2 linked regions of the Macaca fascicularis genome follow. The protein of the gene in region 2 interacts with the protein of the main gene of each other region in a pairwise test. Links are inferred from orthologs where the notes say so. Each region holds a gene or a part of one and is shown on either strand. Other genes may lie near its edges.

Evidence for each region.
Region 1: the proteins of TRIM63 (region 2) and PKM interact in a two-hybrid assay, tested with the Homo sapiens proteins (3 studies listed by BioGRID and IntAct). The link is inferred for Macaca fascicularis from reciprocal best matches to the Homo sapiens genes TRIM63 and PKM.

What each region holds. Positions count from the first base shown.
Region 1 is NC_088381.1:49,041,296-49,047,672, reverse strand, and holds part of PKM (pyruvate kinase PKM), read left to right. Parts: intron 1-3,720; coding exon 3,721-3,852; intron 3,853-4,347; coding exon 4,348-4,534; intron 4,535-5,258; coding exon 5,259-5,529; intron 5,530-6,377. UniProt on the Homo sapiens protein: Catalyzes the final rate-limiting step of glycolysis by mediating the transfer of a phosphoryl group from phosphoenolpyruvate (PEP) to ADP, generating ATP.
Region 2 is NC_088375.1:209,083,839-209,090,215, forward strand, and holds part of TRIM63 (E3 ubiquitin-protein ligase TRIM63), read left to right. Parts: intron 1-1,350; coding exon 1,351-1,584; intron 1,585-2,309; coding exon 2,310-2,332; intron 2,333-2,633; coding exon 2,634-2,758; intron 2,759-6,377. UniProt on the Homo sapiens protein: E3 ubiquitin ligase. Mediates the ubiquitination and subsequent proteasomal degradation of CKM, GMEB1 and HIBADH.

The DNA.
Region 1 (6,377 bases), on a different chromosome or scaffold from region 2:
GAATATTTCCTACACATTGGAGATTTTAAAAGTCAAGAAAGACTTATAACTTAATTCCTATAGAGAGAGATGACACTGGCTATTTTCCAAGAAAAGATTAAATGCCAAAAAGATAGAAAATATGAATAGACCAGTGGCCATAAGAAGTTGAAAAAGTGGGCTGGGCTCAACCTGCAATCCCAGCACTTTGGGAAGCCAAGGAAGAGGGATCACTTGAGGTCAGGAGTTCGAGACCAGCCTGGCCAACATGGTGAAACCCTGTCTCTACTAAAAATACAAAACTGGCGGGGCATGGTGGCACATGCCTGCAGTCCCAGCTACTCAGGAGCCTGAGGCAGGAGAATTGCTAGAACCTGGGGAGGTGGAGGCTGCAGTGAACTGAGATTGCACCACTGCACTCCAGCCAAAAAGTTGAAAAAGTGGCTAAGATCTGGTTCATCTCAGAACATTTAAGTCCAAACGATTTTAGTGGCTGAATTGTCTCCCCTTCAAAATTCAGTTACATTGTTAAACTGTTCCAGAGCCTAGAGAAATACAGAAATCTTCCCACTGTGTTCTTTGAAACCAACATACTCTGATACTGAGATCAGACAAGGACAGTACCAAAACCAGGCAGGTACTAACAGCGTGCTAGACCAGTCTCACTTAGATGCAGAAAACAAATAAAATTTAATAATCCAAATCCAGTAGTGATTGAAAGGAATGTCTTGATCCATGACCAAGTAGATTTTATTCTAGGAGCACAAAATTCTACATTAAGATTAAGTAGAGTTAAGGTTGACTTTTTTTTTTTTTTTTTTTTTTTGAGACGGAGTCTTACTCTGTCACCCAGGCTGGAGTGCAGTGGCCGGATCTCAGCTCACTGCAAGCTCCGCCTCCCGGGTTTACGCCATTCTCCTGCCTCAGCCTCCCGAGTAGCTGGGACTACAGGCGCCCGCCACCTCGCCCGGCTATTTTTTTTGTATTTTTTAGTAGAGACGGGGTTTCACCGTGTTAGCCGGGATCGTCTCTCAATCTCCTGACCTCGTGATCCGCCCGTCTCGGCCTCCCAAAGTGCTGGGATTACAGGCTTGAGCCACCGCGCCCGGCCGACTTTTTTTTTTTTTTAAGACGGAGTCTCACTCTGTCAACCAGGCTGGAATGCAGTGGCACGATCTCGGCTCACTGCAAGCTGTGCCTCCCGGGTTCACACCATTCTCTGCCTCAGGCTCCCGAGTAGCTGGGACTACAGGCGCCTGCCACCAACGCCTAGCTAATTTTGTTTTTGTATTTTTAGTAGAGATTGGGTTTCACCGTGTTAGCCAGGATGGTCTCGATCTTCTGACCTTGTGATCCCCCCTACCTCGGCCTCCCAAAGTGCTGGGATTACAGGCGTGAGCCACTGCGCCCGGCCTGAGTTAAGGATGACTTTTAAACAACCTAAATGTAGCTAAATATAGAGCCTTCTGCAGGACAGCATTGATGGGTGGAACTCTTTACCACATGATAACATCCCAACAAAGCCACAGTTATGGTGGAACTCAGTCCACCTGAGTCTTACCATTATAAGATGATAATAATAGGTAACATTTGTTAAATAATTACCATGTACTTTGTCCTAATACTTAATGTATTCTTTTACTGCTCACATCAACTCTGAAGGAAAGGTACCACATCCCCTTAAAAGAAAACAACTATTTCTATTCTATTCTTTTATTTTTTTTAGAGACAGAATCTCACTCTGTCGCCCAGGCTGGAGTGCAGTGGCACGATCTCGGCTCACCGCAACTTCTGCCTCCTAGGTTCAAGTGGTTCTCTTGCCTCAGCCTCCCGAGTAGCTGGGTCTACAGGTGCGCGCCACCATTCCCAGCTAATTTTTGTATTTTAAGTCAAGATGGGGTTTCACCATATTGGCCTGGATGGTCTTGATCTCTTGATGTCATGATCCACCCGCCTTGGCCTCCCGAAGTGTTGGGATTACAGGCGTGAGCCACCGCACCCAGCCTCTATTCAATTCTATTTTGTTCTATTTCTATTACAAGCCAGTAAGCAAGAAAATATAATAATTTATAAGGAACCCTATAAAAAACGAACAAGCCAACGGTCCCTCATTAGGGAGTATGCCTGAATAAGAAGCTGAAGATTTTCAGATACAGGCTTCAGGCAACATTGTCTTTAGAGGCTAAGCTCTGGCTCCAGCTCCCTCCAGCATCCTGTGAATAACAGGCAGGCTTACTTGCAGGTGCCGCTTTCCTGGACAGTGGTGGTTAAAGGACAAGGCCCAGAAAGTGCTGAATTAGGTGCCCTTGTTATCAGCAATGTCATATTGATCACGCTGTCTTAGAGCTCTTTCGACATCTTGGCTCTGCAGCTTTTTTTTTTTTTTTTTTTTTTTTAAATCTTTTTTCTTGAGATAGGGTGTTGCTTTGGATAGTAGGGTATCCAGGCCAGAGTGCAGTGGTATGATCATGGCTCACTGTAGCCTTGACCTCCTAGACATAAGTGATCCTCCCACCTCAGCCTCACAAGTAGCTGGGACCCCATGCACCCACCATCATGCACAGTTAATTTTTGTGTTTTTTGTAGAGATGGGGTTTCGCCGTGTTGCCCAGGCTCATCTCAAACTCCTGGGCCCAAGCTGTCCTCCCACCTTAGCCTCCCAAAGTGTTTGGTTTACAGGCATGAGCCACTGTGCTTAGCCTGAGTCCCTCTTTTAAACAAACAAAATGGTAAATGGAAAGGAGGAAAGGCTTAAGAAAAAAGATTGAAGCACAGATTTGTTGCAAGCAAGGAATAATAAAGGGCAGTTCATTTAGAGAAAGGCATATGACCACCTTTCCCCGTCTCCAGTCAGAATCTAGAAAGTGATTGAGGCTGGGCGCAGTGGCTCACCCCTGTAATCCCAGCACTTTTGGGAGGCCAAGGTGGGCGGATCACAAGGTCAGGAGATCGAGACCATCCTGGATAACATGGTGAAACCCAGTCCCTACTAAAAATCCAAAAAATTAGCCAGGCCTGCTGGTGGGCGCCTGCAGTCCCAGACTGAGGCAGGAGAATGGTGTGAACCTGGGAGGCGGAGCTTGCAGTGAGCTGAGATTGTGCCATTGCACTCCAGCCTGGACGGCACAGTGAGACTGTATTCCCCCAAAAAAAAAGTGATTGAGAAAATCAGGTCTGTGTGACCTTAGCAATGAGTTGTTTAGCTTGGGCCACTGTTAGCTTAAGTCAATAACTTCAAGTTTGCGTTGTAGTTGGAATCAATAGAGGAAAAGCTCTCAGCATTACCACATATATCAGAATGTGACATTGATTGCCAGATCAGCCTTATCCAAACACAAGTTCTAGGCTTTTTGCCCTGTTTATCAGCTTTATTTGCTGAGGGTATTTGATGAGTCTTAGGGAAAAAAGAACAGCCCTGGGAACACAGCTGCTTTTATGATGAGACATGTTTGCACCCATACCTTAATGGGTTTTGGTGGCAATATTCTGAAATTTGCCACCAGCGTTTCAAAGATTTGCCCTTAGGGTGAATTACTGCTGTAGTAGAAGTGGGTGGAGGCTGAGGAGATTGGATTAAGCAGGTAGAGGAGTTCTCAGTGCATGGATCGTTCTGAGGATGGAGATAGAGCTCTAAGACATCCACAGGCCTTTCCTGAGTGATCAGCTTTGGCTCCTGGGCAGGGAAATTGAGCTGGATCCTAGTGTGGGAGCACGCTTGTCATCTTCCTTCTTTTTCCCCAGTACCACGCGGAGACCATCAAGAATGTGCGCACAGCCACGGAAAGCTTTGCTTCTGACCCCATCCTCTACCGGCCCGTTGCTGTGGCTCTGGACACTAAAGGACCTGAGATCCGAACTGGGCTCATCAAGGGCGTGAGTATTCTGTGGAGAGCGAGGGAAAGACTCAGTAGGCAATATGCCCCAGAGACATGTCCTCCAAAGCGTTGAGATGCCGTGTTTCATCCCAGCACTATGAAGGACTGTAGAGGAGTTGAGGTCTACAAATGAGGATTTATTCATCACTGTAAACAATGTTGATTTGATTTACTTTGCTAGGAAATGGTACCACAGAGGAACCCTTTTTTTACCCTAAAAACCTAAACTTTAGGCTTTCTAACTTGGGGAACCATCTCTTTGTATCTTTTTCCCCATCATTAAGTAGCATAACTGAAACATTATATTCTATTTTCTTAGATTATTTCTGTGAAGTGTACTGAGTTAGAGAATAAGAGCAAAAAACTGTATTATTTTTAGCGGTGACTTGAGCATTGTTCCCTGGAGGAAAGAGCTTTTCCATTGCTTCTGCGGTGATGCTGCTACTGGTGTCTCCAGTTTGGACTCTGGCTTACTCTCTTGCTTACTCCCTAGAGCGGCACTGCAGAGGTGGAGCTGAAGAAGGGAGCCACTCTCAAAATCACGCTGGATAACGCCTACATGGAAAAGTGTGACGAGAACATCCTATGGCTGGACTACAAGAACATCTGCAAGGTGGTGGAAGTGGGCAGCAAGATCTACGTGGATGATGGGCTTATTTCTCTCCAGGTGAAGCAGAAAGGTACGTATGGGAGCTGGAATCCAATTGTCTAAAACCCATCTTTTGTCTCTAAAGTTCCTTGACACAAGGAAGATGGGAAGGTTGGTTGCCTGGCAGTGACATTGAGTCTGTGTGTTCTCAGGAATCCCTTTTATAACTCATTTATCCTCAAAGACAGGCTTTAATCCAGCATAGTTACATTCTTCTGGTTCCGGAGAACATAGGAACATATATATATACACACATATATTTCTTTTTTGAGACAGAGTCTCGCTCTGTTGCCCAGGCTGGAGTGCAGTGGCACAATCTTGGCTCACTGCAACCTCTGCCCCCAGGGTTCTAGCGATTCTCCTACCTCAGCCTCCCGAGTAGCTGGGTTTACAGGCACCCGCCACCACGCCTGGCTAGTTTTTTTGTATTTTTAGTAGAGACGGGGTTTCACCATGTTGGCCAGGCTGGTCTCAAACTCCTGACCTCAAGTGATCTGCCTGCCTTGGCCTCCCAAAGTCAAAACAATCTTAATTCTCCTTTTTTATGGGTGTGGAAAGTGAGGTACAGAGAGGTTAAATGGCTTGCCTAGGATTACACAGTTAGTTGTAGTAGGGTTTCAACTCTGGTAAAACAGCTCCAGCACCCATAATGCACCACTTCCCAGCTCACTGTGCTTGGGGGAAAGGTGCCTGCTTCCTGTTGAGCTGTGCCCTCGGTACTCTGCCTCCCCTGCTTACCCCTTTTCAAAACACAGGTGCTGACTTCCTGGTGACGGAGGTGGAAAATGGTGGCTCCTTGGGCAGCAAGAAGGGTGTGAACCTTCCTGGGGCTGCTGTGGACTTGCCTGCTGTGTCGGAAAAGGACATCCAGGATCTGAAGTTTGGGGTCGAGCAGGATGTCGATATGGTGTTTGCGTCGTTCATCCGCAAGGCAGCTGATGTCCATGAAGTTAGGAAGGTCCTGGGAGAGAAGGGAAAGAACATCAAGATAATCAGCAAAATCGAGAATCATGAGGGGGTTCGGAGGCAAGTCCCCATTGTCCCTGCTCCAGTCCCAGCGCAGCTCTCTAAAGGGCATGGTGCATCCTGTGAATATCTGATTCCCATCAGAATGTAGACTCCCAAACCTGTTCCAAACCTGCTGAATCACAATATCTTAGTAGAGTAGAAGGCATTGTGTGTGTGTGGGTTTTGTTTTTTTGTTTTGTTTTGTTTTGTTTTTAAAAAGCTTCCTAGGTAATTGAGATGCTGGCAGCTTGACATTGTTCCCTGGGCCTGGGGACCAACATTTGAGAGAACAGGGTCACTGCTCATAGTACCAGGGGCCATGATGCTCTGTTCCTGATCAGAAACACTACCAGTGTTTGCTGGAATGTGGGGACCAGGGGGAAAGATGACAGCAGACACTTAAGAAGGGGCTCGTTTTGGCCCTTCCTGGGGAGCCATGTGGAATTTCAGGGGCTGGTGTCCATGCTAAAACATATGGCCTCCTGGTCTTCACTTAGAACGCAGCTGGCTCAGTGATCATGCTAACTCTGGTATGGTCCATTCCACTCTCAGAGTAAGATGTGTGGTTCTTCTCCGGGGTCAGATTGCCTCAACTTAGCTTACCCCCTCCACAGTGCTCATGAGGTAGAGCCCAGTGGGCATGGCCACCATTTTTGGCATCCTGCTAGGAATACAACTTAGCACTACTAAGATGCTAGACCTACGCTTGTGGATTAGGAGTGTGTTTGGGGAGGGTGGGGGAACAACCCTCTGCACACACTGTAGTGGCCTTACTGTCTTAGCTTTGTGTAGATATCCTCTGTACCAGGCAATTTGGGGCCCTCCCCTTTGCCATCCTGATAAGCTGAACTTGGCGCTAGGCCAGG
Region 2 (6,377 bases):
ACAAATCGTTTTCAGAGCACCGTTCTTTCCTATAGACCAACACTTCCCAAACTTTAAAGTGCATGAAAATCACCCTGGGATCATGTTGAAATTCAGGTTCTGATTCAGTCAGTTTGGAATGAGGCATAAGAGCTGCATTTCTAGCCAGTTCCCAGGATTTGCCCAAGCTGCTGGGTCCACGGACCACACTTTGAGTAGTGAGACTGTTGAGGGCAAAATGGAACTTTTCTATCCCTGAAAAAAGCTTCCATGATTTTCCATGTTCACCTGGGGTAGGGACCTGGAGATGAGATGAGGGGAAGGGGTCGTCATAATTGCTAGTGGACCAAGAGTCGGGCGAAGGGTAGGAAGGAGGGGAACATTCTGATCACCCATGAACCCATGAGAGGCTCCTGGGTCTGATGAGATGCTATTGTCACACCCATTTTACAGAAAAGAACATAGAAGGGAGCGTCAGTTGAGGAGGGTGCTAGGAAACGAGCTGTTTTTCCACCTCTCCTAGGACCAAATGATGCAAAGCTTCCTGAATCCAGTCTTGGTCTTGAAAGGGAGGGAAGAGTGTGATCTGAGACAAACGGGAGGCCCAGGAAACTGAATGGAAGCAAATACATTCATTTGCTGAAAGTCACAAAGCTAAAAGGGAAACACAGCTAAAAGGCAACGGAGAGCTGGGCGCAGTGCTCATGCCTGTAATCCCAGCACTTTGGGAGGCCAAGGTGGGGGGACCATGAGGTCAGGAGATCGAGACCATCCTGGCCAACATGGTGAAACCCCATCTCTACTAAAAAATACAAAAATTAGCCAGGCGTGGTGGCGCACCTGTAATCCCAGCTACTCAGAAGGCTGAGGCAGGAGAATCACTTGAACCTGGGAGGTGGAGGTTGCAGTGAGCCAAGATCGCACCACTGCACTCCAGCCTGGGTGACAGAGCAAGACTCCATCTCAAAAAAAAAAAAAAAGAGAAAGAGAGGGCAGATCCCACGTTGGTGACTGTTGCATTGGTCTGAGAAGTGATGCTCCAGTGACCAGCTGAGGTTGGGGGACAGGAGGAGGGTGCAGGAACAAGGAAGAATATGTAATGTCATGTGACCCTAGAGCCTCTATTTTGGAAGAAGGGGCTAGCTGTTTTTCAAGGCATCAGCCTCCAAATATCACTGGTGTACTAAGTAGCTGTGAGGCCAGATGAGTGTTTTCTTCTTGTTAAGCCTTTGTTTCATCTTCTGTAGTGTGGGGATGTATGTAGTGAGATCTCTTCTAGCTTTAGATTCCTTGCTACTGTACCAGGAAGGGAGTGTAGCGGACAGGGAGTAAGGACCCTACAGAATGTGACTGCAAGACTTCCGTCCTCAGGAGAACAGTCACCAGGTAAAGGAAGAGCTGAGCCAGAAATTTGACACGCTGTATGCCATCCTGGATGAGAAGAAAAGTGAGTTGCTGCAGCGGATCACGCAGGAGCAGGAGGAAAAGCTCAGCTTCATCGAGGCCCTCATCCAGCAGTACCAGGAACAGCTGGACAAGTCCACAAAGCTGGTGGAGACGGCCATCCAGTCCCTGGACGAGCCTGGGGGAGCCACCTTCCTCTTGGTGAGCAGGACTAGAAGGGTCTGGGTGGGGTCAGTTCAACTCGACAGCTCTAAGGTTCCAGTTATGCTTCTCCACTGACCACCCATGGACCCTTGGAAAAGTCATTTAAACCTCTGTGAGCCTCAGTTTCCTCATCTGTCAAATGGGCATGTAACACCCCCCACCTTCCTATTACTGATTTTATGATGATCAAATAAGAGGATGTTTATGAAATGACTTTGTAAGCTGCAAAATACAGTGTCCCATCTACGGACTATTAATTGAGCCCCTACTGTAGGCCAGGCACTGAGGTGGAATACAAGGAGATAAACCAGACACAGCCCTGTCCTCAAAGAGCTTGTTGGGGAGGACAGAAAAGCCTCAGTTATAAGACTTCATAGTTCAGTTCAATAAAAATGTTCTAGGCTTCTCCTGTGGGCCAGGCTTTGTGCTAGACATTAGGTATGAAAAGGTGGTTAGGATTGGGGAGTTCAGGGTTTAGGAGTTTTTGGATTGATACCCCTAGAATCCAAGCTTCCTGCCAAGACAATGGGTCCTAGGGTGATGACCAAGACCTGTACAGACCACAGACAGAGGGAAAAGTTCCAAATTCTGCTCAGTTTGGGGTGGGGAGCAGGTCACAACTGTGCTAGGGAATGGCACCAAATGTCCAGTCACTGGTTTTGCTGATTTCCTCGGGTTACCTCTTCTGCGGTCCTAATCCTTTGTTCTGTCTCCCCCTGCAGACTGCCAAGCAACTCATCAAAAGGTCAGTGTCTCCCCAGAGGCTATGATCCAGGCCCCTAGTTCCCACCAGGACCTCTGTCCAGGAAGCCTCGTCCTGGGCATTAGGTCTGCTGGGAGGGTCTAACTCTAGGCTGGCTTCCCTGACCCTTTGCATCCCTGACTTTTTGGACCACTCACTGTGCTTAAGATTGGAGAGGAAATACCCCATCCCTCCAGGGGAGCCTCTGGGTAGAAGCCCTGGGCATGTGCAAGGCATGTGCCCTCTCCTTCCTGCACTGAGCCCCAGAGATCTCATCCTGCCTCTCTTTCTGTCTCCCCCACAGCATTGTGGAAGCTTCCAAGGGCTGCCAGCTGGGGAAGACAGAGCAGGGCTTTGAGAACATGGACTTCTTTACTTTGAATTTAGAGCACATAGCAGATGCCCTGAGAGCCATCGACTTTGGAACAGGTAAAGGTGGTGGTGGTGCCACTTGTCTATTCGCCTGCCTGATCCCTGGAAACCAGCATCCCTCCCACTGAGCCCCATGGGGAGGCAGATACACTAATAAAGATGCCCAGGTATCAATCAAATTCATATAGCCACCTTCTGGCCGGCTGTGGTGGCTCATTCCTGTAATCCCAGCACTTTGGGAGGCCAAGGTGGGCGGATCACTTGAGGTCAGGAGTTTGAGACTAGCCTGACCAACACAGTGAAACCTCGTCTCTACTAAAAATACAAAAATTAGCCGGACGTGGTGGCACATGCCTGTAATTCCAGCTACTTGGGAAGCTGAGGAAGGAGAATCGGTTGAATCCAGGAAGCAGTGGTTGCAGTGAGCCAAGATCATGCCACTGCACTCCAGCCTGGGCAACAGAGCCAGCCAGACTCTGTCTCAAAAAAAAAAAAAAATCATATAGTCACTTTCTTAATGAGCCCAGAGCCTAGCACAGTGCCTGGTACAGAATTCCTGCTTCATAAATTACCAATGGATCCATGGCAGGGAAGCCTCTTGGGGCAGTAGAAATAATATGGCCTCTGGAATCAGACAGTCCTGAGTTTAAATCCTGGTCCTGCCATTTGTTTATTATCTGTGTGACCTTTGGCAAGCCCCCCTTCTGCCTGAGTTTTATTTTCTAATTTAAAAAATCAGGTTAAAAGTGAGCCCTCTAATAATGACCAACTCATGGTGCTATTGCAAAAAATCAGATATTGATGCAGAAAGGTCCTGTAGAGGCCGGGCGCGGTGGCTCAAGCCTGTAATCCCAGCACTTTGGGAGGCCGAGACGGGCGGATCACAAGGTCAGGAGATCGAGACCATCCTGGCTAACACGGTGAAACCCCGTCTCTACTAAAAAAAAAAAATACAAAAAATTAGCCGGGCGAGGTGGCGGGCGCCTGTGGTCCCAGCTACTCGGGAGGCTGAGGCGGGAGAATGGCCTGAACCCAGGAGGCGGAGCTTGCAGTGAGCTGAGATCCGGCCACTGCACTCCAGCCTGGGCGACAGAGCGAGACTCTGTCTCAAAAAAAAAAAAAAAAAAAAAAAAAGAAAGGTCCTGTAGAGTCCTAAAGATGTACTAGTTATTGCCTAAAGGTAGTCTTAGCTTCAGCTTCTTCTTCTTTTTTTTTTTTTTTTTTTTTTTTTTTTTTGACAGAGTCTTGCTCTGTCACCCAGGCTGGAGTACAGTGGCACAATCTCGGCTCACTGCAAGCTCCGCCTCCTGAGTTTACGCCATTCTCCCGCCTCAGCCTCCCAAATAGTTGAGACTACAGGCACCCGCCACCACACCCGGCTAATTTTTTTGTATTTTTAGTAGAGACAGGGTTTTACCGTAGCCAGGGTGGTCTTGATTTCCTGACCTCATGGTTCACCAGCCTCGGCCTCTGAAAGTGCTGGGATTACAGGCTTGAGCCACCGCGCCCGGCCCAGCTTCAGCTTCTTAATGCTATCACCTGTGATACTCAGGCACCTTAATTTATCAACATCGTCTTCATTTCTGTTTGTAATTACTCTTCCATAGAGTGCCTATAATAATTGTAACAATGCAATCATAACAATAATAGGGGTGAAAATAATAAGGGAAATGAAGAAACTGAATGGAAGCAAAAATGTTAATTTGCTGAAGGTCGCACAGCTAAAAGAGAAACAGCTAAAACACAACAGAGAAACAGAGGGCAGATCCTACACTGCCGACTGTTGCCTTGGTCTGAGAGATGGTGCTCCAATGACCAGCTGAGGTTGGGGAACAGGGGAAGGGTGAAGGAACAAGGAAGAACTATAAATGGACTGGCATGGGAAAGAGAAGAGCTTCTTGGCACCTCCTGTGTCGCTCTCTTGCAAACCTTCAGTATCTGGTGCTAAGTCTGTTTTCAGAGCTCCAGATATACCCCATAGGTGAGGACAAAATACATCCCAAAGCAGAGATACCAGTGGACTTGGGGACATCCACTGCTGTAGATGAGCTGCTTGCTCCACTGTCAGCTTCCCTAAGCTAAGACATTCAAGAGTGGGTCCACCGGGCACAGTGGCTCACACCTGTAATCCCAGTACTTTGGAGCCCGAGGCAGGTGGATCACCTGAGGTTGGGAGTTCCAGACCAGCCTGACCAACACGGAGAAACCTCGTCTCTGCTAAAAGTACAAAATTATCTGGGCGTGGTGGCGCATACCTGTAATACCAGCTACTCGGGAGGCTGAGGCAGGAGAATCGCTTGAATCCGGGAGTCAGGTTGTGGTGAGCCAAGATCACACCATTGCACTCCAGCCTGGGCAGCACGAGTGAAACTCTGTCTCCATCTCCCTGAGCCTCAGTTTCTCCATAAGTAAAATGAAGAGAGTACCAACAGTCACCAGTTACTGAATATTCTGTATGTCCTAGGCACTAAGCTCTTAACATAAGTTTTATCATTTAACACAACTTTATGGGATAGATTCTGTTACTGTTTCTATTTTGTAGTTGAGGTAACTTAAAGCTCAGAGAGGGTAAGCCACTTGTTCAAGGCCACACAGCTAGCAAGTAGCCCATGCAGATTCTACTGAGGGCCATTTGGCTTGAGAAACTCTTGTGAAGATTTTATAAGATGGTGCAGATTCAACACTTAGCACATAGTAAGTACTCAGCAACTGCTATTAATATTCTGATCCCAGTTGCTTGGCTGGAATTTTGGTTGTCATTTTGGAGATTTTTTCTTTTTTTTTTTTTGAGATGGAGTCTCGCTCTGTCGCCCAGGCTGGAGTGCAGTGGTATGATCTCGGCTCACTGCAAGCTCCGCCTCCCGGGTTCACGCCATTCTCCTGCCTCAACCTCCCTAGTAGCTGGGACTACAGGCGCCCGCCACCACGCCTGGCTGATTTTCTATATTTTTAGTAGAGACGGAGTTTCTCCATGTTAGCCAGGATGGTCTTGATCTCCTGACCTCGTGATCCGCCCGCCTCGGCCTCCCAAAGTGCTGGGATTACAGGCGTGAGCTACTGTGCCTGGCCCCCCTTTTTTTTTTTTTTTTTTTGAGAGGGAGTTTTGCTCTTGTAGCCCAGGCTGGAGTGCAATGGCATGATCTTGGCTCACTGCAACCTCCGCCTGCTGGGTTCAAGCGATTCTCCTGCCTCAGTCTCCCAAGTAGCTAGGATTACAGGTGCACACCATCACGCCCGGCTAACTTTTCGTATTTTTAGTAGAGACAGGGTTTTACCATGTTGGCCAGGCTGGTCTTGAACTCCTGACCTCAGGTGATCCTACTGCCTCAGCCTCCCAAAGTGCTAGGATTACAAGCGCGAGCGACCTAGCCTGGCCTGGAGATACACTTGACAAATGTTCTGACTCTGTGGTGGCCCCTTCAGGGCCCCAAAAGATTAAGGAGGTGGCTTGGGAGAGGAGCGGGGAAGGGAGATGTTCCCTGTTAAAGCTTGACGGTGACATCTCAGGATGAAAGAGTGGGGACATGAGTTGCAGCTGAGTCACTGTCGCTCTGGTGCTCAGCTTCAGAGAGCAGAGGTGGCTCCAGAAGTGCTTCCCCGTCATGTCCACCCCTCCCCTCCACAGGCTAAGGAATGAGGAAAATGGGACAGAGGCTGCTGAACAAGCAGATCTCAT